Linked DNA regions of Neurospora crassa OR74A. The protein of the gene in region 4 interacts with the protein of the main gene of each other region in a biochemical or structural test. Links are inferred from orthologs where the notes say so. Each region holds a gene or a part of one and is shown on either strand. Other genes may lie near its edges.

What was found.
Region 1: of the proteins of NCU04370 (region 4) and NCU03623, one has a biochemical effect on the other in vitro, tested with the Schizosaccharomyces pombe proteins (2 studies listed by BioGRID, with this or other methods). The link is inferred for Neurospora crassa OR74A from reciprocal best matches to the Schizosaccharomyces pombe genes uba1 and ubc7.
Region 2: of the proteins of NCU04370 (region 4) and NCU08345, one has a biochemical effect on the other in vitro, tested with the Schizosaccharomyces pombe proteins (3 studies listed by BioGRID). The link is inferred for Neurospora crassa OR74A from reciprocal best matches to the Schizosaccharomyces pombe genes uba1 and ubc11.
Region 3: of the proteins of NCU04370 (region 4) and NCU02113, one has a biochemical effect on the other in vitro, tested with the Schizosaccharomyces pombe proteins (2 studies listed by BioGRID). The link is inferred for Neurospora crassa OR74A from reciprocal best matches to the Schizosaccharomyces pombe genes uba1 and ubc13.
Region 5: of the proteins of NCU04370 (region 4) and NCU10046, one has a biochemical effect on the other in vitro, tested with the Schizosaccharomyces pombe proteins (2 studies listed by BioGRID). The link is inferred for Neurospora crassa OR74A from reciprocal best matches to the Schizosaccharomyces pombe genes uba1 and ubc8.
Region 6: of the proteins of NCU04370 (region 4) and NCU02289, one has a biochemical effect on the other in vitro, tested with the Schizosaccharomyces pombe proteins (3 studies listed by BioGRID, with this or other methods). The link is inferred for Neurospora crassa OR74A from reciprocal best matches to the Schizosaccharomyces pombe genes uba1 and ubc4.
Region 7: of the proteins of NCU04370 (region 4) and NCU04513, one has a biochemical effect on the other in vitro, tested with the Schizosaccharomyces pombe proteins (2 studies listed by BioGRID). The link is inferred for Neurospora crassa OR74A from reciprocal best matches to the Schizosaccharomyces pombe genes uba1 and ubc14.

The regions. Positions count from the first base shown.
Region 1 is NC_026505.1:1,883,387-1,886,351, forward strand, and holds NCU03623 (ubiquitin-conjugating enzyme E), read right to left. Parts: upstream 1,834-2,965; 5' UTR 1,448-1,833; coding exon 1,201-1,447; intron 1,080-1,200; coding exon 826-1,079; 3' UTR 501-825; downstream 1-500. Other genes in the region: NCU03622 (UBA/TS-N domain-containing protein), read left to right, coding at 1-125, 234-335; NCU03624 (hypothetical protein), read left to right, coding at 2,199-2,965. UniProt on the Schizosaccharomyces pombe protein: Catalyzes the covalent attachment of ubiquitin to other proteins. Functions in degradation of misfolded or regulated proteins localized in the endoplasmic reticulum (ER) lumen or membrane via the ubiquitin-proteasome system.
Region 2 is NC_026501.1:5,678,599-5,681,725, reverse strand, and holds NCU08345 (ubiquitin-conjugating enzyme E), read right to left. Parts: upstream 1,855-3,127; 5' UTR 1,597-1,854; intron 1,543-1,596; 5' UTR 1,424-1,542; coding exon 1,347-1,423; intron 1,340-1,346; exon of another isoform or gene 1,257-1,339; coding exon 924-1,256; exon of another isoform or gene 862-923; coding exon 759-861; 3' UTR 501-758; downstream 1-500. Other genes in the region: NCU08344 (60S ribosomal protein L31), read left to right, coding at 87-290; un-1 (serine/threonine protein kinase), read left to right, coding at 2,112-2,192, 2,511-2,587, 2,648-3,127. UniProt on the Schizosaccharomyces pombe protein: Catalyzes the covalent attachment of ubiquitin to other proteins.
Region 3 is NC_026501.1:1,237,598-1,241,387, forward strand, and holds NCU02113 (ubiquitin-conjugating enzyme E2 13), read right to left. Parts: upstream 2,375-3,790; 5' UTR 1,824-2,374; coding exon 1,771-1,823; intron 1,696-1,770; coding exon 1,607-1,695; intron 1,498-1,606; coding exon 1,366-1,497; intron 1,284-1,365; coding exon 1,102-1,283; 3' UTR 501-1,101; downstream 1-500. Other genes in the region: NCU02112 (hypothetical protein), read left to right, coding at 3,098-3,790. UniProt on the Schizosaccharomyces pombe protein: Has a role in the DNA error-free postreplication repair (PRR) pathway. The ubc13/spm2 heterodimer catalyzes the synthesis of non-canonical poly-ubiquitin chains that are linked through 'Lys-63'.
Region 4 is NC_026504.1:3,604,205-3,608,406, reverse strand, and holds the start of NCU04370 (ubiquitin-activating enzyme E1 1), read right to left. Parts: upstream 2,801-4,202; 5' UTR 2,431-2,800; coding exon 2,425-2,430; intron 2,316-2,424; coding exon 1,936-2,315; intron 1,871-1,935; coding exon 1-1,870. Other genes in the region: peptidyl-prolyl cis-trans isomerase fkr-3, read right to left, coding at 3,669-3,696, 3,803-3,844, 3,996-4,016, 4,085-4,145.
Region 5 is NC_026506.1:3,266,913-3,270,019, forward strand, and holds NCU10046 (ubiquitin conjugating enzyme Ubc8), read left to right. Parts: upstream 1-1,348; 5' UTR 1,349-1,435; coding exon 1,436-1,449; intron 1,450-1,510; coding exon 1,511-1,548; intron 1,549-1,650; coding exon 1,651-1,765; intron 1,766-1,924; coding exon 1,925-2,106; intron 2,107-2,171; coding exon 2,172-2,311; 3' UTR 2,312-2,607; downstream 2,608-3,107. Other genes in the region: NCU10045 (pectinesterase), read right to left, coding at 3,102-3,107.
Region 6 is NC_026507.1:3,039,406-3,043,069, forward strand, and holds NCU02289 (ubiquitin-conjugating enzyme E2), read left to right. Parts: upstream 1-1,177; 5' UTR 1,178-1,564; intron 1,565-1,781; 5' UTR 1,782-1,857; coding exon 1,858-1,901; intron 1,902-2,123; coding exon 2,124-2,169; intron 2,170-2,301; coding exon 2,302-2,515; intron 2,516-2,586; coding exon 2,587-2,726; 3' UTR 2,727-3,164; downstream 3,165-3,664. UniProt on the Schizosaccharomyces pombe protein: E2 ubiquitin-conjugating enzyme that catalyzes the covalent attachment of ubiquitin to other proteins. Mediates the selective degradation of short-lived and abnormal proteins. Mediates ubiquitination of pex5.
Region 7 is NC_026504.1:3,125,485-3,128,938, forward strand, and holds NCU04513 (ubiquitin conjugating enzyme Ubc14), read right to left. Parts: upstream 2,239-3,454; 5' UTR 1,797-2,238; coding exon 1,770-1,796; intron 1,641-1,769; coding exon 1,053-1,640; 3' UTR 501-1,052; downstream 1-500. Other genes in the region: NCU04512 (hypothetical protein), read right to left, coding at 3,054-3,454. UniProt on the Schizosaccharomyces pombe protein: Catalyzes the covalent attachment of ubiquitin to other proteins. Mediates the selective degradation of short-lived and abnormal proteins.

The DNA.
Region 1 (2,965 bases), on a different chromosome or scaffold from region 4:
CGAGTTTGGATAATGTGCTGTGGGAGGGGAGCGGGTGGAAGAAGGTGGGATTGCATGAATTGGTGGTGGCGAACAAGGTCAAGATTGTTTACATGAAGGCTATCGCAAAGTGTCATCCTGATAAGGTAAGCTTTGTCTTTCTTTTTTTTTTCTCTTCCCCTTTTTCTGTCTTCTTGGAAATTTGAAGTGAATCAGAAATATCCGGGATGGTTGCTGACGAAGATGATAACCAGATTTCGACGGATGCGTCAACCGAGGTTAGGATGATTGCTGGAACGGTATTTGCCACGCTTAATGAGGCTTGGGATAAGTTTAAGAAGGAGAATAATATGTGAGTGTAAGGGGCGGGTGGAATAGTAATGGGTTGATGAGAAACGTAGGGGGGCGGAAGGGTTAATGTTCTAAACTGCTTATTGAGATATGATACCTATATTAGAAGGAACGGGAAAGGAGTGCTAATAAACCTCAAGCTACTTGTCTGCTGTAGACATGTCTCTGTTCGAGCGGACAAGGCGAACGGAGGTCATATAGAAAACATCATCAACATGGGAATAGGAAGTTCGTCATTATTATCCTCAAAGGAAAACACCAGTGCCATGCCATGCTAATAAAAAAGTATACCTCAAACCACCACCCTTCCTCTTGTTCAAAGTGCTTAGTCACTCCGAGATTCTTTTACCACCCTTTACCACCACCACCACCACCACCACCACCACCACCCCCGTTCTCGCTCTCTATCCACGAAACCTTCTTCAACCACTTCACACAACGAACCCGCCCTTCCATTACTCTCTTCATCCTCTTTCTTCCCAACTCTCCATGCCCTTAAAGCCCCAAGCTAGCCCTCACACTAGCCTTCACCCTCGCCTCGTACTCGCTCCTCTTCTCCCTCCACATCTTGGCCGCCTCCACGTTCGCCGGACTCTCGTCGTTAGGCTCCGCCAACATGCTCATAACAGATAACAAGATTTTCTCGACGGACTGAATAGGTGACCATCTCTCCGAGGCAGTCTCGTAGTGGTTCGGGTCGTCGCCGGGTGGGTGGAGGATCGAGATGCAGACCAGACCTGAGGGGTAGACTGTTGGAGGGTTGATTTCCGTTAGCACTTTGCATGCCTGACCACCACAGATGGTGAGAAGAACCAAGTGAAGGATAAGAGAAATAAAAAAGGAAGAAGAGGAAGGAGAAGAAGAACACACCATTAGGATGGAATATATCCCCCAGAAACTTCATGGTCGGCGGCATATGCGGGTAATCGTTCGGAAACTTGAGTTCTGCGGGGAACACGCCGCCCTCAAAGGGGGTGCCTTCGGGCCCTTGGATCAGGCATTCCCAGTGCAGCAGGTCGTCTTCGGAAATGGGGCCCGCGGTGATGCCTTCGGGTGGGTTGTTGGTTAGAGCGCGGTATTCTTGGAGGAGACGACGTTGGGCTACGTTGAGAGACATTGTAGCTGTTGGTTGATGGTGGGTGTTGTTGTTATTGTTGGGGTCCTCGTGTGGTGTTGTTGTTGTTGATGATCGAGACGTGGGGCTCTCTGAGGAGAGTGCCTCGGGGGCGGTACTGTGTTATGGATATACGCTTTGGTGATCGGGATGGGAATCGCGTGGTGTCGCAAGCAGTTACTGTGGGTTGGGCATATGGTTAAGACGAAGGTAGATATGTCGTGATCTACTTCTTATCGATTGTTTGTTTTGGTTTAAGAAACGAAGTGTCGAACTGAATCGATGCATGCAGGAGAAGCGCGGAGGACACACTGGGCTGCAGCGGGGGTTGTCAGCGGCGCAGTTGCTTGACACGTCTGACGTCGGTCCGCTCGGCGGGGATTGATTTCCATGGGACGTCTCGGGACGGGAATTGGGGAAGCTGCTGCTGCTGCACCACAGGGGCCATACATGCTAGGGCCCGGGACCCTTCCAGAAGCGCCTACGACAGGTACACCAGCCGGGGGGTTCTAGCGGCCGGGTGTGCTGTTTCCCTTCCTGAGCTGCCGGCCGGCAACCTGAGAGCTAGACTACCTCTAGGGAGGTAAAAAAAAGCTCTCGGTCAACCGCAACCGGCTTCCTTGTTATCGCAATTGGCTGTTATCGCATCTGCCATTCCATCTATTCTTGTTTCGGTTTCGGAAACTCGATGGCTCGTCGTCGACTGGGAGCCACGCCGCTCTAGCTTGCCAACCTCTCACCTCGTCAGCCAGCCATGCCGCCAACGCTGGGCCTACGACGGGCTTTACAGAGCCGCGGCCGCGGTCTCGGGTTTGGCCAGCGGACAGTACCGTCGTCCGTATGTCTCTTCTGTTCCTTTGCGACTCGGCCTTCCACTTTTCCCACATCGTCACCACTCAACAAGCTCCGGGCAACGAGGGCAAAACCACAAGAAGCGCCGGCTGTTCGACCACGATACCAATCGACCGGCGCCACCCCGCTCCGGCCCTTCATAAGCACGCCCTCCGACGCCGCCGATGCCGCCCCGGCCGAACCAGAACCAATTGATCCCCGCAAAGACCTTGAGAGCGCTCTCCGCGACTTACAAACCCTCGCACCCAACCACGTCAATCTTCCGCGCCTCCAGCTCGCCCTACGCAACCTTAGCCAAGATCCCGGCCATGAATCGATACGAGTCGCATTCCTCGGCCTCACCACCGGCGACAAGCCCCAACACACTGCCAGGGAGCTGCTCCGCCTGGCACTCGCCGATCCGCTGAAATCCGCCCAAAACTGGGAAGCGCAACTCAAGGCCCACGACCCCTCCAAGCCGCTCATCGTACACATCGGCCCTCCCGAGGAGCAAGCCACGCCACTGTCGCTTGCCGCGAGCGAACATGTGATCCCCGAAATCACCGTGCCGTCGCACATCTACAACGATGCCAACCTCGAGATGATAGTCATGGAGGCCGACCAGGCAACCGTCGCGCAGGCGGGCGAGCAGCCACACACCTTTGACGAGGCTATCCTCGTGCCCGCCGT
Region 2 (3,127 bases), on a different chromosome or scaffold from region 4:
AGCTATGGGGACGACATTGGAGCTGGGGACACAGCGTGGTCAGTTTGAACGAACACCAAAGACTGACATGACTCTGTGATTTATAGGGTACCACCGATGTCCGCATCGACCCCCAGCTCAACAAGAAGGTCTGGGAGCAGGGTGTCAAGGGCGTTGCCTACCGTCTCCGTGTCCGTATCTCGCGCCGCCGTAACGACGAGGAGGGCGCCAAGGAGAAGCTCTACAGCTACGTCCAGGCCGTCAACGTGAAGAACCCCAAGGGTCTCCACACCGTTGTCGTTGAGGAGTAAATTTGGGTGTTCTGGCAAGACGAATTTTTGGCACGAAGGGACCGCGGTTCAGGTTCAGGGCGGCATTGGGCTTCCGGAGTTTTCGCATGGCATCTAGCTTCGCATTACGAATAAAGGGTTCGTAAAATGGAACACGGCACCTTCGATACCACCAAACCGCCTCCAGCAACGATGAGGGAAGACAATCGCAGTGTGAGGGCGTCGCAGATGGTCAGGCAGGGGCTTCGTCATGAAAAATGATACGCTCTATGGACGATATACTGTCCATTACAACCAATGCTTGATGTACTTCATAAAGCCAGTCTGCAACCGGTAGCAGACGCGAGCAACAACGGGATACCCATTAAACAAACCCGCCCTGATAATGCAATCCTGTTCCAGAGACCAATACGCCAGGGATTCCAACCTCGAGAATAAACCAATTTCTCCCAACCCAATGCTCTCCTAAACTGCTCCTGCATTTTGCCTTCAGTCGTCGTCAATGTCCCTGTGACGGTCCATGACCTTGGTCTTGAACAAGGTCGGGTCCTTGTCCCAAAGCTCAGCCGCCTCGCCGTTGAGCGGGGAAGCACTGTGATGGGTGTTAGCTCTGATCTCGTAGAAATTGAATGAGAGAGCATGTGAAGTCCTTACTTGTTCGGCTCTCCAAGCAGGGATTGCAAGCTCAGAAGGACGGTCTGAGTGTTGTAAGCAGCAGTCCACTTATCCTTGAGGATGTCGAGACAGATGCGTCCAGAAAAGTCCACGTTGGGATGGTAGATCGGGGTTCTGAACAGCACCGTAGGCGGCGCGTAAGGATAATTCGCAGGAAATTCAAAACTAAGCTTGAAGGTGAGGCCGGCATAAGGGGTATCCTCAGGTCCCTCGATGGTAGCCCGCCACGAAAGGAGATTGCCGTCGGCAGAGGGGAAGGCAGACACGCCCGGCGCCGGCGATGTCATTAGCTGCATAAGCTCCGTCTGCAATCTGTTTGCAGTCATTAACAGTCAGTGGCCGATACATCAACATATTCATTGTCTATCAAACATGCACCAGCTCAGTGAAAAGTGGACTGACCTCTTGACGGCATTTTGACTGGGGTCGATATTCTTCCTAGCGCCAAAAGTGGGCGCAGAGTTCTGGATATCTCCCATGCTTGGTGTAGGATAATCGGTTTGTGTCGGCGAACTGAAAAGCAGGCGAAGAGGCTAATATCGCAAAACAAAGAAGACCAATATCTGTTGGATAATCGAGGTGAAGGTTGATAAAAGTACTAACTCAACAGGTTAATAAAGACTTATGAACCGCGAGGTGAAGGGCGACGTACCTGCAACCAAGGAGGGGCGGCGCCAACCTTAGGAGATGTATGAAGGTTGAGATGGGGGATGGGAGGCGCAAAGAACAAATGTAGTTTGGCAGTTGACGCCAAGCTTGGAGGGACGGAACTGACGAGATGCAAATATTAAATATCAATGTTTACACGACTGCAGAAACGAACCAGCCTCCAATAACCCCACAGCTGACTAGGTTACCGCGGGAAGGTCCCCAGCAACCGTGACGGGCCCGAGCGTTGCTGTCAGGGGAAGGATTTAAGGGCATGCATGAACTTCTTTGCAGGTTCCCAGGCCGCAAGGCGGGCAGTCGCGGCGCGTGGAAATAGTGGGCAGTTCGCGCTCCAATCCCTCAAGGCGCTTCCCGGATCCCCTTTCTCAACCAAACAAACCGGGACACTGGACGAGGAGTCATCACCTTACCAACACGCGACCTGCATTTGCACGTGAAGTGTCCATAGTGTTTGTACAACACCCGCCAGAACAGGTGAGGTTAGCTCAGTGTTCACATATGTATGGTGAACGTCTGAATACGCGACTCTCTTCCTCTGACACGCTCTTGGCATTAACCGGTCTGTTGTCCATCAAAATGGTGAGTGCTTTTTGCCTCCACCTTTCCATCTCGATTTGCGCTTTTCCTTTTTAGGAACTTTGTTTTGGTTTGATACTTCTAGGCGGCGGCTCTCGCCACTTGCTTGCGCCAGGCATCAGCCTAACACTTATACAAACTAACCCAACCACCATTTTTGATGGAAACACACACTTGATTGCTGACTGCGCACGAACCGACGGAGCGCATTCCTTTAAACCCTTGAACTCTCTTGAAATCCCGCATATTTTCGTCTATCTCACTTGTACTCCAATCTTCGTAATCGTAATTGCGTCCGTTGTTGACGGCAAAATGCAACAGTCTCAGCTGGACCCTCTTCCTTCAGATCTTCCTTTCCGCATCATCTCCAAGACCATCGGACGGGGAGCATACGCCTCGTGAGTGCTTTGATCCCTAACCCATCGTGCTGCTGCGCTTTCACTGACCAAATGTCTCAGAATAAAAAAGGCGATACCCCTCGACGCACCGTCACCGGTATTTGCCGTCAAGCTCATCCACAAGGAGTATGCCGTAAGACATGGCAGGATATCGGCGAAGCAGATTGCCATGGAGGTATCGCTACACTCACATATTGGCCAGCATCCAAACGTGATTGAGTGGTTCGCTACTGGCGAAGACAGGATCTGGAGATGGATTGCCATGGAGTATGCTGAAGGAGGTGACCTTTTCGACAAGATTGAGGCAGATGTTGGCCTGGAGGAGGATATTGCTCACCTCTACTTTCAGCAACTGATCAGCGGCGTCAGTTTTATGCATTCAAAGGGCGTTGCCCATCGCGACCTCAAACCCGAGAACATCCTCCTTTCCGAGAGCGGCATCCTGAAAATCGCAGACTTTGGTATGGCCACCATGTTCGAATACAAGGGTGCACGAAAACAAAGTTCGACCATGTGCGGGAGCCCGCCTTACATCGCTCC
Region 3 (3,790 bases), on a different chromosome or scaffold from region 4:
CGTCCCAAGTCGGTCCATCTGTTCAGTCCTCTTCCGCGGCCCTCCTTTCATCCCTCCCACCCATCCCAAAAAAAAAGGGAAGGAACTTGGGGGTTCTAGTTCATGAATGGAATTCCTCCTGTCGCAAATTCCTCTGTGAACCTCCCTCCCTCTGATAACTCCCTTGGAACCATCCATTCCATTCCGATGGCTACCTAACCACTCTATGTATTCTATAGTAAAGTTTTGGACTTTGCATCCCGGCTGGAATCCTCGAGATTATATTAACAGGTTATAGGTGTCTATTCAAGATGACTGCAGGTATCAGTGTTTTCGCTTGTACAGAAGCTAAGCAATCAATCGTGTTCGTACTTACTGGTTGTGAAGATGGCCGGTGTCTTTCAGTATAAACCACACCGCCCTTCATTTTATATGTGTTATCGTGAGTTTATTGAAGCTTACCGCTACATCTGATCCAAAGGCTCATCCACCCCACTCACAGACGCAAATCCGAACAGTGGTCATGTTGCAAGATATGTAAGTAGTATTTGAACAGCCCTACCCGGTACTCTATCGCTGCGAAAAAAACAACACCTGAAAACACAACGCTTCGAAAGGATGTTCTCTATGTTCGAAAACTCCTCCTTCTGGTGTCTGCCTTGGCGCCGCGTGGCGCTGTTGCATCCACCATGGCATCCTTCACTCAACCCATCATACGTGCCCCTTCCTCGTCCATCGATCCAGTATTCGTTGTCTCTCCTTATCTCGTGTAGCCTTCCCTTCCTCATTCCCCTCTCACGGGCTTTCTCTTTGTGCGTTCCGTATGCACCCTAGGTGGGTGCATGATACACCACCAGCGCCGTGCTTCACACAAACACCTAGACCAACTTCTTCCACTGCTTTCCCTTTATGATCCTCTCTGTTATTTTGCCACAGCCACTTGCTGGCCTTGGTGATTCATCTCTGCTTCAAGACCAGAACAACCAGCTGCTCCTGTCAATTGCCGTCCTAAGGCCCAAACCGATATGGGTCAAAGTTTCCTCCATAAGGGTCATATGTCGGCGCGTGAGCCATGAGGCCCTGTCCCGGGATTTCGTTGATTCCTGGTGCCAGCCTCCGACCCTACTGGGATGGCAAGGCGTACTGCTGTGTCCATTCCCGGGCGGTGGCGACGGCAACGCTGGGGTTCTCCTTCCAGGTCTTGGCCACGTCGGGGGCGAGCGGGTCGTCGGGGTTGGGGGCGCCTAGGAGGGCTTGGATGGAGAGGAGGATGGTGCGGATTTGGAGGGCGGGGGACCAGTTGTCTGTCGGGTTTGGTATCGTGTGTTAGCTTTTCGGAACTGGCGTATCCAACTATCGCGGCTTTTCTTTCTCGGGACTACTCACTCTTGAGGACGTCGAGGCAGATGCGACCCAGCTTGTCGACGTTGGGGTGGTAGATCTTGGTAAGGAAGCGGATCTTGGGAGGGGTCATGGGATAGTCATCGGGAAGGAAGAGTTCGAGCTTGAAGACACCACCTGTGTGGGTGTTTGGTTCTCCTGTTAGCGATCATGTGGTATGTTCTCATGGCGCACGGAAGGTAAGAGATGAATGTAACGGCAGCCGTGGGGTTCAAGGAAGACCAACCCTCATATGGCGATTGCGAAGGGCCGTGGATCTCGACGTCGAAATAGCGAAGGTTGTCTTCGTGGGGAACAGCACTAATACCCGGGACACTGCGATCAGGAAGGAGAAGTTAGGACTTTGGTCTAGACTGTTTGCTTCTCGGGATGAGGATGGTATGTACGTACGGCTCCGCCATCAGCCTTTCGGTCTCTTTGACAATCCGCTTCGGAAGCGCCATGGTGATTAGATTAATTGCTGTTGGTGTTTAGTGCGAAAGGAAGCTCGACAAGCCAGTGGCAGAAATGGTGGTGAGGAAAATGTTTGTCGCTGAGGCTGGGAGAGACAGGAGGGCAAGTGGAGGGGCTATCGCCGATTGTTATGCTGGATGTCAGAGGGCAGTTTAAAGAGGCGTTTCGGAGGCTCCGGTTGACAAATCGAGGCAAACAGTAACGAACAGTGTACTGCGCTATCACGGTGCGAAAGGGCCTGTAAATAACCTAGGGAATGTGTGGTAAAAGCGGTAGTAGAGGTACGTAGGTAGGTAGGTATGGCTAGACCAAAATCGTCGCAAGGCAGTCGATTCTGTTCCTTGTGAACTTGTTGGAGACAAGTCGAAATCGGCAGAACCTACGGTAATCTCTTGCGACACGGGCAATTATTCACGAGCAAGGCGGGACGGGAAGTTCTCGATGATGGAACGCGGAATGGAACTGGAAGGCAAAGTGGAAGAAGGTCGGGTGTGTGGGATGCGCTGACGAATGAACCCGCGGCGTGCCTCTCTGACCAAACCACTGAATGCCCTGTGACAGCGGTCACGGCCCTGACAGCGACAGCCAGAGGTGGCCTACCTAGGTACCTGGGCTAGAGGCATGCGGATCCATGTGATGGGATGGAATCGGCTTCCATCATCCATTCCTCTACCTAATCGGGATCTCGCGATAAGCGCACAGACCACATGATCGAGAAGGTACCTCCTACCTAGTGTAGTGTACTGGCCAAAGTCACTGCCACTGCACCGCTGAGTGAGGTGCCGTTCGTGTCTCCAACTGTTCATCGGCGCCTTGTCGAGGTTGACGCCGTTGTCAGGTTGACCTTCCAATTGAAGAGAAGAGAGAGAGTGTGTGTGAGAGAGAGAGCTGAGAGATTCTCCATCTTGGTCGAACGGTTTCTCCATTCCACGTCCAGTTGTCTTCCAACCTGCCGGCCTTCACACTTTCTTCCGCTGATATCGACGCCTCTCGATATGTTTTGCATTGATCGACGACGACGACCTCCTGTGATCATTTCGGTTTGCATTCGACTTCACCATTCCCGAGACGCCCTACGAATGCCAGGTTATTCGTCCTTGGGGGACCTGGTCTAGTTCAACATAAAGTCTCGTCAAGTCCCGTCAACTCAACTCAACCCAACTCATCCTTGGTTTACCACTTCAGTCAAACTCCAGCACTGAGAATGGGATGAGGGAGGATACGCACCATGCTGCACCGTCTCGTCCAATCCTGATCCCGCAATATGCCCTCCGTATTTGACTCTCCGCCAAAGAAGGCGAAAACAATCAAGTCAGCCTTCGACAGTGAGAGCTTCGATGCCGACCTGACCATCCATGTTGATGGCTTGGTGGGCTCCGCCACCATCTCACCCTCGGGCCGTGATGTTGCTCTTGCTTCCCCCGAGGGCCTCGCCATCATAGACCTGGACTCGCCATGGAATCCACCACGAAGACTGAGCAGCCATGGCCTCCCGTGGCTGGTGGTCGATGTTCAATGGTCTCCCTTTGCAGCTCGTGACTACTGGGTGGCTTCGACAGCAAACCATCGCTGTCTGGTATGGAACCTCAACATGAGGGACGACTCGCCCTCTGGAGCCATCGAGCACTCGTTGCAAGCCCATAGTCGGGCCATCACCGACATTAACTTTTCCGCTCACCACCCAGATCTTCTAGCCAGTTGCTCAGTTGACGGTTATGTTCATCACTGGGATCTGAGAAGACCGAGACAGCCTGCTCTGTCATTCTGTGACTGGTTTGCCGGTGCAACGCAGGTCAAATACAGTCGTCAAGACCCTCATGTCATTGCTTCGGCTCACGATCGATTGCTTCATATCTGGGACGACCGAAAGACTGTCGAACCCCTCAAGACCATTTGTGCTCACACGTCCAAAATCTACGGTATCGACTGGAATCGGACTGATGCCCCCTGCCTGGTC
Region 4 (4,202 bases):
ATAGTTGAAGGCATGGAGGTTGGTAGCAGCCTCGAGGAAGCTAAAGTGGGTGGGGTTTTCAGGGTCGAACTTGAGCGGGTCAGGGGCGCGCTTGGGTCCGGACCAGAAGGGGGTACCGGTCGAGGACACGGAATCCTTGGGGAAGTTGTAAAGGAGCTGCTGAATAGCGTTGTTGTACTGCTTCTCGAAGAGCATGCGAGCCCATTGGACACAATCCTCAAAGGTGAGCGGGCGCTCGTGCTTTAGGAAGTCCGCCAACATCTCCAGCGTCGCCTTCTCGTTGCCACTCTGCTTCAGGGTAGTGTCGAGATAGTTTGGCTGGGTCAAGTAGAGGTTGACGGTCTCCGCAGGCTTGACAAATGAGCTCTCGAACAGCTCACGAGCCCAAGCAATGGTGTGCTCGATCTTGTTGGGGAAACTCCTGAGAGTGCACATGGGGAACGACTGCTCAGGAGGATCCTGGGAGGAAGAGTAGGACTCAGTGAGCCTAGGAAGCACCACTTGCGTGTTGCCCTTGGTGCCGAGGGTACCACTCTCAAGGAGAGGCTTGTGGAAGAAAACGCACCGTCTGTCGACATACGTTCTCGCCTCAACGTTGTCCAGCGCGTTAGTGACGCCATCCAAACCCTGCCAGAACTCCTCATTGAAGATCTCCTCGGTCTCGGGACTAACGCGATCCTTGAGAGAAACAATGTGGCCTTCGAGGTCAGGGTTCATAGCTTGCGCGGCCTTGGCCGCGCAGTCACTCTTCATCTGACCAACGTCCTTGGGACGGAACAAGAACTGTCTGTTCAAGTTGGACTTCTCGATCGAGTCCATATCGGTAACGGTAATCTTACCCTCAGGGCCTGTTCCGAGACCAATCATGGCCCAGTTCTTGAGCATCTCACAGCCAATGGCGCCAGCGCCAACAAGGAACTGCTTGACGTTCGAGATCTTCTCCTGAAACTCCTTACCAAAGACCGCAATCTGGCCGTCATACCTGCTACCAGTGGGCGCACAGAGTTCCTCGGTGCGCTTGGAGTTGGTGGGAAGAGCCTCGAGCGCATCGAAGTACATGAACTGCTTAATGGGGTGGAACTTGCCCGAAACAGCCTTGAGGACTTCCTGGGCAGTAAGGCCACCGAAGAAAGCGGCCATGGGGTTAAGGTCACCAGTAGCCTGGTAGCTGAGCTCCTTGAGAAGCTTGTCGTCGAACTCGACGTCAACACCCTGCTGCTTGGCAAACTCCTTAGCCGAGGCGATAACCACAAGCGCATCCTCGTCGTTCATCGGCCTTGGTAGACGTCCCTGAGACTTGGCGAAAGCGTGGAGAGCCTGGAATCCAATATGAAGCTGCTGAGGGCGATCGAACTTGGCGAAGTCGGAGATGACAAACTCGGGATCCTTGAGCGCGTTGGTAATGCTCTTGAACTCGATGGTCTTGGGCATTTTGACCTGCTGGTAGAGACCGCCCTTCTTGTACTGGCCAAGCCCCGACACGTCGCCGATAGAGAAGGTGTAGGGGCCCTTGACGGTGACCTTGCGGGGCTCGCAGCCGTTGAGTCCCTCCATACCCTCAACCTCCGAGAAGGTCACATAGTCGCCATCCTCAAGTCCATGCCTGGTCTCGTCAAGCGCAGAAACGAGACCCTCCTCGTCGATGCCAGCCACGATACCGTTAACGGGGTTTTCGCCGTTCGTGTCCATGACAGTAAAGTTATCGCCGAAATCACAGAAGATGCCGCCAAAGAGACCGTGTGTGTTGACAGCAATAAAGTAGATGCCCTTGGAGTGGCAGTATTCGCCGACAATAGTCTGGAGATCGGTGTGCTGGTTCGTAAGGACGACGACTTGGTACTTGTCAAACTGCGACAGGTTATCGGCGAGACTGTACAGAGGCCACGGTTAGCTACCGAACCTGTCAAGCTCACTCCCGTCCGGTTCATAACCTACCTTGGCGACTGGTGGATGTGAACGGGGGTATAAGCATTGAGCTCAGCAACGCGGGGAGCGGTGACCTGGTCGCGAGGCTTGCCGACATCCTCAGGGCGGAGGAAGAACTGGGCGGAGAGGTCGGCCCAGGCGGCGGGCTCGGGGTCGTGGAGGGTGAGGCTCTTGACGCCAGCAAGGGCCACGTTCTTGGCGATCTCGACGCCGAGGCCCTTGAGGCCGACGATGAGGACGTTGGAAGCGCTCATGCGCTTCATGGCCTCGTGGCCCAAGACATAGAGCTGGCGACTGTAGAGGGACTCATCAATCTCGGCCGTGGTGCCGGCTACTGATTCGTCGACTTGCATCCTGGTGACAAGGTCGACCTCGTTTTTCTGAGTGTCCTGGGAGATGGGCATCACGAAAGTGTCAGACTGACTGGCGCTAGCTACCAGGAACAAGCATCTGCCATCCCAAGTAGGATTCATGTAGACAAACGGGGTTTCAACTCACTGTCATGGTTCTCTTTAGAGAGATGGGTAGGTCCCCTTCGGATACTTTGCGCTTCCCCAGCTTGGCGACTGTTGATTACGGGCGGGCCGGTAGATTATAGATGGTGGAAAGTTCGTGACGCAAACAGAGCAAAAACAAGAACGAGAACTGAACCTAAAGTTGTTGATTCGCAGTGGTCGGGTATTGTGATACTTCAAGTTGGCGATGTTGGTCCAAAGAAAACGCCGATGTTGTAGTTGAATGACTCGGGAAAACAGACGACGGATCAAGCGCAAGTGCTACTATGTCGTACTATGTCAAGGTGCAAGTGCAAGTGCAAGTGCAAGTGGAAGTGGAAGCTGTCTGTAATCTGGAAGGTCGGGCGGCGGGGATGTCGAGGGAGGTTCGGTCAGCCCCGCCACCAGCTGTCAAGCATCAAGGAGAACTGCGGGGAATGGTGATGTGATGCACTGTCCGTCGTTGGCCAAGCACCTACCGCTGCAGCGTGCAGGTCGCTGTACTGCTGTTAGTGCAGTGTGCTGTAGCCTTCACCGTATGCGGCCTCGCACCTATTACTAGGTTGTACGTCTGGAAGTGGCTATGCTAGCTATGTACCTCTAGGTACCTCTACCTCGACCCAACCTCGTTTCACACTGGCTGTGCCCTGTCTCCTATCTGATCGGATAAACCTTGACTCAGAGTCTCATTGATGCTGAAGGGAAGCCAATATGTATTGTGGTTCACGCGCGCATGAACCTGGAAGGAACCGTGAGGACAGCAATAGAAGGATCGAATCATTACTAACACCCCTGGCAGTAGACGGTACGAGGCGGTCATGCACTAGAGGTACTTGCCCGATGTACCGATGGCGGTAAAACGTACTTGGTACAGTAAGCAAGGACCAGCCACTCAGCCCATCCGGCAGGCAACTTGTGCTCTCTTATCGTAGTGAGCCAATCACATTCAATGAGGCGCTTGTAGGTACTTCTCCATATTAACATAGCTGCGCGGGTACTTCAACCTTCCCTGTATCGCTTCAACCTCCCGTCATTCAATTAATTCCTCGTCTTTACCCATCAAGGTTCCTCGCAACGTAAACACCAACCATCTGTGTTTTCGTCATCGCCATCACCGACATAAAATCTATCTTCCCAAAAGAACTTCAAGTTCCAGTGGTTTCTTGCCCAGCGGTCCCTACTTTGGCTCGTTGGAGGCGTTGAACTAAGGACCTCGTCTCCTTTTCCCGAGATCAGTGAACCGCCCAGCTACTGGAGACCCTTGAGATATACGTCACTATCACATATTAGCTCGTATCCTTGCTGACGCTATCTTGCCCGCCGCTACCTTGACTGTAGAGACAAGCTGGAGCAAGATATGTGGCATACAGGAGACAACTCACAAGATCAAATCTGCGTTCGGAGGAATGTGGCCGTGAAAACCCCTGGTGTGCAATAAGTCGGGTCAGCACATGGGCATTAACTCCAAATCAGCACGGCCAGAAGTATCGTGTCTGCGGGTGGTGTTACACCATATAGACTGATTTTTTTGGATTTTCAGAAGAAAGAAAAAAAAAAGGCCTGCAGGTTACTCACCGCTCTCCGTATCCGTAATCACTAAAACATATTGTCTCGTCAGTATCAATTTCTTCCCCTGACACATCGTTCACTCACGAATAACTCACCTAGAAATATCCAAAGTGGCTTTCTCGCCAACCTTCATTTTCAATACAGCCTCATCCCATCCTATGCCCGTCACAAAAGCAGCACGTCAGCATAAAGTCTCCGATATATGAAAAAAGT
Region 5 (3,107 bases), on a different chromosome or scaffold from region 4:
TGCTTCCTTTTCCCCAGACTTTCCCGCCATTCACAGTTGAATCTTGACGTCGGATCGCCGGCCACCTTTATGGACGCAAGGCCGATGGTGGGTGACGGTATGTTAACGGGGTTGATCGACATGTTTCTTCATTGGCACTACACACACACACACACACACACACACACACACACACCATTGTCAAGATTGTTGGGATATCCCGAATTTGGATCCGAGTCAACTCTTATATGTCTGTTGAGCGGCACGGAACGCGTTCGAGATTATACGATCCAATACAAGGATGTCACCTACCTCTTGGTAGCTGATGATGCGCCGTTCTTTATCAGATGTTGCTGTTGACCATTGTGTCTGTTGTTGGTGACCGGATTTGGCTTGGAGACAAAGCAAACATGTAACACTACCCCCGAAGTGTACCTTGCGGTTGGTAAACTCGCCTTCCCATAATGAGAAGGTTGACTGGAGTTGACTCCTCCTCCCGCTGTCCCGTCATTCCCCGTCCTCAACATCTGAAGCACAACAGCCGGTCCCGAGTGACCGCCAATGAATCATTATCACATCCCTTCAGCGCATGACCATCCCCACTCCTGGCTGCTTATCATTCGCTCGCGGCCGGCAAATGCACCCCTGGCTGCTACCACCTGAGGAGGTCAGCGCTGTACGGTAAGCCTGACGTCGTGGACGATCGTCGCTACTGCGGGCGGGAACGTGACGGGAGTGCGACTTGTCTCATTCATCCCACTTTGTTCCCAACTTCGACTTTCCGACCTGAATAATCAATCAAACTATCGACACTTTGACAGATCAGCTTCAGTGCCTACCTATTCGAGTCTATTCGCGATAACCTACCCGCCATATTTGGTTGTCAGCAACGCCCAAGCTTCGCTTCCAACCCACTTCGGCCGCAGCTGGGAGACCAGACGAGAGCGACATTGCATCTCGCCACCACCCGCCGACCACGCATCCAACTGCCTACTCCCGCATTCTGCAGTCTTGACACTTGTCATCCGTTCACAACATCGAATTATACGATAACGCGACTGCTTGCGACTTCGCTTCAGATTGCCTGCGACAACTCGAAGCTAGTTACCACTTCATTCTTATCAAAAAAGGCCGAACCGAGCGCGAGTTTCTGATAGACAACATGAGTTCCCCACGCCGCCGTATCGAGACAGATGTGAGTTGCGATAGTGTTCACCTTCAGTTACGAGTCAGGGACACACGTGCTAATATGTACATTGATAACAGGTCATGAAGATGTACGAATCCCGTCCTTACAAAGCTCCAACAACCCTTTCCCAAGAGCGCACTGTTAACACGACTGATACGACAGGCTCATGAGCGACTATGAGGTTACTTTGGTGAACGATAATAGTATGGATACACCCTTTCCAACTCCCTGTAGGAAACATTCAACTTCCGGTTTCGGAGCGCTAACATGGAGAATGCAGTGTAAGATGCGACAACTAAATAATCCGAGCTGGGTTGCTGGGCTTACCTAACAATACAACAGGCAGGAATTCTATGTGAGGTTCAAAGGGCCTGCCGAAAGTTTGTCTACCCAATATCTTCCATTCCCTGTCTCACCTGTGCTCAAGTCGCCATATGTATCTCGAGGATCTTACAGTCACTAACACCAAGCCCTCCCTACAGCACCCTTTGAAGGCGGCATCTGGAAAGTCCGCGTCGAGCTACCCGATCAGTATCCATACAAGTCCCCTAGCATTGGCTTCGTGAACCGAATCTTCCATCCCAACATTGATGAGCTGTAAGTGGGGACTGATACCAAACTGATTGCACCATCCGAGGAAACAATCACGACAATACGTTGGGTGGGCTCTGGTTCGCCGGGGAGAAACAAGCAACAAATAATGGGCCACTCGCCGCAAAAGAGCAATTGGGGCTAACCAAATACGCCGCATACCAGATCCGGATCGGTTTGTCTAGACGTCATCAACCAAACATGGTCGCCAATGTTCGATATGATCAACATCTTTGAAGTATTCCTGCCTCAGCTTCTACGTTACCCGAACCCTACCGATCCTCTCAACGGTGAGGCTGCTGCGATGTTGCTCAGAGAACCCAAGACCTACGAGAACAAGGTGAAGGGTATGTCAACACATGAAAACTGCTTTGGAGTACAGAAAGGGGGGAAGCTGAAATTATTTTTGCAGAATATGTCCAGAAGTACGCGAGTAAGGACGCCGCAGACGAGGCGGACGCAGAAAGTGAAGACGACGGCGAACTATCATCCGTGGCTAGTTTTGACGAGGAAGACGACGAAGAGGCCGCCGGTAAGATGGACGACGTCTAGGTTGGTAGTCCCCCCACGAATTTGAGGGCTCTTCGAATCCTGAAGGCTCTTCAAATTTTGAAGGCATTTTAGGCCGTCTTTTCGTCACTTCGCATTTGTCAGCGGCAGGAGTTGTTTTCTCCGGGGTGTTCAAGGGCCTCTGTTTCGAACCGGCGTTGAATAAGGTATCTATGGGTTGGGACGTTTTTGGTTTGCTTAGGTCACTCGCTTTGTTTTCTCCCCTCTGCTTCTAGGACTGTTTATACACATTATCATCTCAGTGCAAATCGTTATACCATTCCGTTAGAATGCTTTGGCTTTTAGTGCGTTGCCTTTATGTGGAAAAACAACCAGCTCTTGTCAGTCTAGTGATGCTTTCCTGCTTTTCCTGCTTGAGGAGGCTCAAGGAGACTCAAGTCTAAACCATCACTGAGGCACAGTTGAATCGCAACAAAGTTTAAATATCAATCCCCAGCTAGGTGTGAAAAGTCGTCACAACAAGATCTATTACAGGGTGATCTGAGGCCCGCGCTCAATTTTTTTTTTTTTTTTTTCCAAAGTTTTTTTTTTTTCCAAAGTTTTTTTTTTTTTTTTTTTTTTTTTTTTTTTTTTTTTTTTTTTTTTTTTTTTTTCACAGTCATTTTGGCATCAGCTGGGGACAAAACCTTTATTTATGTTATTTTAAATCCTGATCCGTCGTTGCGGTCCGGTTTGACAATTGTCTATTCGAATTCAAATCCTTCCATTAACCCACCTCCCATTTACTGCCTTCCTTTCCTCCCCTTCCCTACCCATCGAGATCCCTCCTAACTTACAT
Region 6 (3,664 bases), on a different chromosome or scaffold from region 4:
GAGAAACACAAAAGTCAAGACTGTTGAATGAAGGAAAGGAACAAGAACAGGCCACCCTGAGAACATGAAGGGGAGAACGAGTATTTATTCTCTGACTGGACAAAAGAAATGTGGCCATGCAACACCATCTGCGGAGGCATAATTTCTGGACAATTTCCAAGTTTGAGGATGCGTGACAGAAGCCAAGCCCTTAAGCATCATGCACCCAACTGTGAGATACCTGCAGCCGAATACTCACGAGCACAATGAAATGAACCTTTCATGTACATTGTTAGTCTAATTACCTAGGTAGGCACTTAGTTTTGTTGATAATGTCACATTTATTGATACCATTCTCGTGGAGTGCATTGCGACGGAGGTCCGACTTGCACCTGAGAATATGCAACATGATGGATGAGCCGGATTTCATGCATAATCACCTCATATAAAACCGCTGCATTTACCCACCTCTTCCACTTGATTTAATGCCCGGATCATCATATACTCACTGCCAGTTTGTACTCTTGTGGTTGGATGACTCCGTGTCCGGCCGTCCGGGGCCGAGAGGTGCACCATTGCTTGCATATTTGGTACGCCCAAGACCTGAACCCCAAACTCGAAGCTGGCCCGAAGAACAGTTTCAACAACCATCGTGCGAATATCTGGAGCATTCCCTTTGGTTTTAGCAGAGCCTTCAGTTTTGAGAGACATGTATAACCGGTTCCCTCTTCCTTCCATATCAGCCTAGCCAAGTACTACTGTACTTGTCGGCCCCCAACCACATTTCATCCATGGTCAATACCTCTTCCACCCAAGTTTTCGATTTGGAAGAGAGTGACTCCCCGCTTCAGTACTAGTTTGGACAGGTCTTGAGCGAATCATCGCAATGTTCCAGTGTGGTCGTCGTCGTCGTCGTCGGTCGTCGTGGGCTCGTCGTTGGTCGTCGGTTGTCGGCTTTCCAGCTGCACCGGCCGGCAAGTGTTGCCGGCGGGAGTCTTCAGTCTCGGAATGAGCTCGGCCATTGCGGTGGCGGTGCACTGACGATGACGAGGTAAACCAGTGGCGCTGTCCTTTTTGGGCTCAATGATTGGTCAACTTTGGGGGGCGTCAAACCACCCCTGCCGGCATCCGATCTGAATTGCCAGCCGCCCATGCTGCCCAGGCCAACAGACATCGGCAGGCGGTCATGCAGCAAGAGCCTTGAGTGGTCGGCCACGGACAGCGCCATCGGCGGGCAGTGGGCAGAGCGCGCCGTAGGTAAGTACCTAGCCAGAGAGACCTGAGACTGCCCCTGCCGTGGGACTGGTCGGGTGGGTGGGACAACCTCACCAACCTCACTGGGCCGGGGGGACTGGCTTCCTCAGGCTCCCGTCCCGCCCGCTGGCACCTGAACGGGAACCCACCTTTGTTCGCCTGATCCTGATCCATTTCCCCCCCCTCCGCCATTCCATCCTACTCTCCTGCAACCGACTTCGACATCAACTACCAGAGTTTGCATCCCGTCACCATCTTCTCGCCTGTTGACGAAACCCACCCCAATACCGTGGTGTGACTCAGCGATATAGTGCTTTTTGCTTTCCATCTTGTAAGTCGAACAGACCGCCGTGCTCTCGTCCGCTGCCCATTCGTGATCGACTTTTTTTTCTCCCGTTTGCACGACCGACGTGCCCAGCGAGTATTATCGCAGCAGCAGCCAGCCAGCCCACCAGCCTTGATTCACTCACTGCCCACTGCCCATTCATTCCGCTTCTTTGCTCTTCCACCGCCCGCAAACGCTGACCCTGACCCTTTAAAACTTGCAGCCACACTTCGTGTCGTCAACGCAACAGCGATTACGACAACCACAACCACCTACCTTTACACAACTAATATCACACAATGGCGTTGAAGCGCATTAACAAGGAGCTCGCTGATCTCGGCCGGTACGTAAACACGAATCCCGCTAGTCCTTTGCCGTCTCGCGCGATGCCGCAAAAGCGTCATTCCGGCGCAAGGTTCAGTGGTGGGGCCGCGCTGGCGGGGTTTGCGCCGCTGCCGTCGCCGTCGCTGACCCTCGCGCCGTCTCGAACCGCTTCCGCAGACGCCAGAGATGCATTCCGTATCTGCTGTCGTCGAATATGATGCTGACGTGTTGTTGTCTGTAGCGATCCGCCCTCCTCTTGCTCTGCTGGCCCTCAGGGTGAAGATCTTGTATGGATAAGCCACCCCGCTTTTTCGATAAGCACGGCTCGACCCCCGGCATCGCGTCATGACCTTTGCCGTGGATCGAACCGCGTGGCATCTTGCTCGCGAACAGGCATACTGACATGCTCGATTGAATAGTTCCACTGGCAAGCGACCATTATGGGCCCTGCCGACTCCCCCTACACCGGCGGCGTTTTCTTCCTCAACATTCAGTTCCCTACCGACTATCCTTTTAAGCCTCCCAAAGTCAGCTTTACCACCAGAATCTACCACCCCAACATCAACTCGAACGGCAGCATCTGCCTCGACATTCTGAGGGATCAGTGGAGTCCGGCGTTGACGATCTCCAAGGGTATGTTTCTCTGTGTCCATGCTCTTCTAGCTAGCGCCCATATGGTCCTTCGGCTGCTGACAAGTGTGCAGTTCTGCTCTCCATCTGCTCGATGTTGACGGATCCCAACCCTGACGACCCGCTTGTGCCCGAGATTGCGCACGTGTACAAGACAGACCGCGCCAGGTACGAGGCGACGGCTCGCGAGTGGACCCGGAAGTATGCTATCTAGAGTAGATAATGGGATGGATTTATGGCCGACAAGCAGCGCTGGATCGTTTCTTCAACGTTTTGGCTCCTCTTTTGGAGGGGCACCCACATATTCACCATGGGAGCACGAGTGTATTGTGGTTCCGGTTCGCGTCCTATATTCCTCTAGGCCCAGAGGGAATTCCCAGCTCTCTTCAGTGCGAAAGTTGCAAATGCCATTCGAGCGGCTCGAAACAGTGGAGGATGGGGGTGTGGCACAGCAAGCGGTGTCTTTCGATGTCACGACAAGGGGCGGGGCGGAATCAGCAGGCGCAAGATGTAACCATTGCGTACCGGCACTCAAGTTTCTTTGCTCGCATCACATTATTTACAAAGGTCTGCAATACCAAGGGGTTCCAGTACAATAGCATTCTGTCTTTCCCTCTATCGTTCCTGATGTTTGGCCTGTGCTCTATCCGTGAATGACGTTCCGCTCTCCATGTGCGAGTATGGTATCGGGCAGTTTGCAACTAATGAGCCCGCTACTGACCTTGATAGGTATTCGAAGTACCTCTCAACTTTGGTCGGACGAAGTGCGCGAGACTTGTCATCTCCTTGACATGTGGTTCAAGGCCCAACAGGCTGGCCAGAGAACTAGTAGGTGACTGAGTAGCTGTCATATCTTTCATGTGGATCACGAGACAACTACTCTCATCATAGGCCATGATAGTGAATCTGTAGGTTAGGTTCTCAGGCTGGCTTTGGAAGGGCAGTCAGAGAGAATGTGAGCATATCAACAAGAAGTCGATGGTACCGGACGGCAACGACTTGCCGGCGTTGGGACCTTGTGTGCCCGGCTCATCGGGCTGACCCTCCCCGCGGTTACGCTAGTTGTGGTCATGCTGAAGAGTGACCCAGGGCATGCATGCTTCCAAGTCCTCAAACTGAACTGAGGCGATAACGGGCTGGTTTGAGAGTTCG
Region 7 (3,454 bases), about 480 kb from region 4:
ATGCACAGGCTGAAGCCTATGCGCCTTATAGCACCCCCCAATCTCTATCATTACCAACCACATCCTCTTGCAGAGGGCGCATCTCCCTGTCTTTTTCCTTTGTACATATCTTCCTTGGGGCGGTCGGGAAGCGGTTGTTGCGGCGCTTTGTGTCTTGTTGTTGTTGTTGTTGTTGTTCATTTGATTGTTTTTTTTTTCTGCGTTTGTATGTACACGAGAGGAAGAGGGGATCGATCTCAAAAAAATACGCGGAATGGTTTTGTTCTTTTAGAAGGAGCCAAGGTAAAGGCAAAGGCAAGGATTATTCATTCAGTCAAGGTCGCACATATGGTCAAGGTTTCAGGCGGAAGGAAAGGGAAAGAGAAAAAGAGAGCGGAGTTGCTATGAAGGGGACAAGTTCGAGATTCGAAAGCATAGCATAGCATAGGCATAGGCATAAGCATATTGCATAAGTTGAACTACGTACACTACAATTAAGCATGACTTGAATGGAGCAAAAGTGGGTAATCATTGTGACTCTTTTTTGGAGGGGGGGGATGAATGGCTCAAATCTAATTTCCCGGACTTTTCGCATTAGACATTGCTATGAGCCTCATAATAATGCCTGCTCCATCATTCAGTTGAGCCAGTGCGATGTGTTTCCTCCACTCTTCGTTCCCATGATCAATGATGTCTATCACTATTGGCCTTGTCTTGCATTGATGTCTAGCAGTTTTCAGACCAACCCAGGCGTCCAGTGATCGCCACATCCAGTTCTGGTTAAACACTTTTCCCTTCGATAACCATCTCCAGCCTAATGCTAGCCTCATCCATCAAGTCCAGTTATTTTGGTAACGAGCTTGCCACATACCCGGTCTCTTTCGATTCCTTCTAATCGTGTCGCACATATGCAGTTTAAAGAATCCTTGCCACTAACCTCCCATCCCCGTTACGCATCACGTCGCTCGCATCACAGAGACTCTGTGTCATCGCTTATGCATTTTGAACAGCTCCATCAAGTGACAAAAAGGCGTATATCTTCGAGCAGCCACCTACCACCCACGCCCCTGCCCCTACGCAGGTGGAGCAGGGCGGGACGCCGAACCCGAGCTAGCACCTCCTTGCCTACCAGCAGCGCGACCAGGATTCACAGCACCAGTAGTAGTAGCACCCGCAGGCGCACCATCCTTCTTCTCCGGAGGAGGAGGAGCCTGCACGAAATTCACCGACCCCTTTGCATACCTCTCCACATACGCCCTCGCATTCTTCTCAAACTCGGGCCGATCCCTCCGATACTCATCCGCAATGCGCTGCTCGAGCGCGTCGTCGGGCATCGGTTCGACGAGAATGTTGCGCACAGCCTCCAACACGCTGATGATCTTGCTCGCGGGCTTCCAGTTCTCGGATTTCAGCAGGCCCAGGCAGATGTTCCCCAGCGAGTCGTTGGTGATGTTGGGGTGGTAGATGCGCGTCGTGAAGTTGATGGTCGGAGGCTTGAAGGGGTAATCGGTGGGAAGCTTGAGGATGAGGCCGAAGCGACCGGGGGCGTAGACGGAGTTGGGCGGCGCCGTGACGGTGACGTGCCAGGTGTGTAGGTCGGCGTCAGAGGGGAGGGTGATGGAAATGCCAGGGGGTGGGGCGGTGGTGCAGTCTGCGAATTCCTGGACGGAGGGGGAAGAAAAATAGGGTTAGTTTCGTGGGTCTTCTATTTCATATTTTCCTTCGCCTTCTTCTTCCTCTTTAGGGATGTCGTCAGGTTCAAAAGGCAGGGCAAACGATGTGATATTTACCTTCGCGATGCGCTTCGTGGAGGCCATGGTTGCTGGTAGGTAACACACTCGACTAAACCAAGTAGTACTTGGACGGAATGTACCCAACGATGACTGATGGATGTATCGAGTGAGGAGGGATAAGAGGTAGAGATGTTCAACTTCAGATGCTGACCACCTCAAATGTATTTTGGCAGTTGTGAGACTCAAAGTGACCTAGTACAATGACCGACGGCGGTGACGTTGGTCAACAAACAAGGCGTGCATAAGCTTGTTTGCGTGCTCGTGTTGATGGCGGGGTAAGCGGACTGGGCTGGTGAGGTATTCTTTGCTTGGGGGGGAAAAAAGGGCAAAGCAGGGATGTAAAAGTGACGACGCAACGAACAGTCTCTTATAGTAGTTGCGGATATGACTGAATGTTCTTGTTGCTTGTTGACACGCTAGTAGTTGAAAGAGGATGCTGACTGATGTCCACGAAGGAGAAAGAGCGAGAGCTCCGTCGTCAAGGCTGCAGCACTCCACGCCCCACGGCAAGTGCTGCCAAGACCGGTAGGGCGGTTTACTGTGGGGCTATTTGTGGTGGCATCCAGAGCGGGGCCGTCCATGCCGCGGGTGATGCAACGCCAGCATGTTGAATGTGAATGCCTTTGGCTTGGAAAGGCCGTTACCAATCTGTGATAGGGGTCACTATAATTCGAAAGCACATCGACCGGAGCTCCCTGGAGATTCTCCGCTTCAGGAACTGCTTAGAGCTCAGGTCCATGGTATAGCGAGTATGCTCAAAATCTTGATTAGAGGATTTCAAAGGTGTCATCTCCATGTACATATAGTACTGACCGAGACGTGGACTTGGGCCATCAAGGCCCTCACCGGATTCCGGCAGGCACAAACTCTGGGCCGGATACAGGGGGTTAGGGTTTGCAGTATACTAGGTATACTTCACAGTAGCAATCACGGCGAGGAAGACCACAGTACCTCGACCATGAGATTGCAAGTATATCGTACGTCTATGAGAAGTAGAAAGCCGAGCCACACCTGAGCAATGACAAAAAGTGAAGACCAATAATTTGTTTGGGCAAGACCCGCTCTTCCTAATGATAAACTCCCGAAAAGATTTCTACTCCAGATCCAGCGTCGCCATCACCAACCTTTGGTGTGTCATATTCTGGGATTCCGTCACCGGCGCCAAAAGTCGACAAACTCGTCGAACTCGCCGGGGCTCGATGACCCTGAGCTTGAGTCGAACGGCCCTAGCCAGGGTAGAGACCCTAACCAAGGTAGAGACCCTAACCGAGGTAGAGGCCCCTAATTTCCCCTTGTCGAACTGTCATGCTCACTCTCATCATCCGTATCCTCGTCCCCAATCTCCTCCTCTTCGCCTTCGCCTTCTTCCTCATCACCTTCTTCCTCATCTGCCTCCTCCTCCTCTTCATCACCTTCTTCATCCTCTGCGTCTTCAACACCCTCTTCTTCCTCCTCCTCCTCACCCCCCTCTTCTCCTTCTTCTTCTCCCTCTGTGCCTTCCTCTACATCATCTTTATGCTCGCCTGGCCTTACATCTTCCTCAGCTTCTTCGGCCTCCTCCTCGTCCTCCTCTTCAGCTTCAACATCTTCATCGTCTTCATGATCCTCTTCGCCCTCTTCAACATCTTCCTCGCCTTCCCCATCCTCCATCTCCTCATCCACATCCACATCCTCATCTCCCT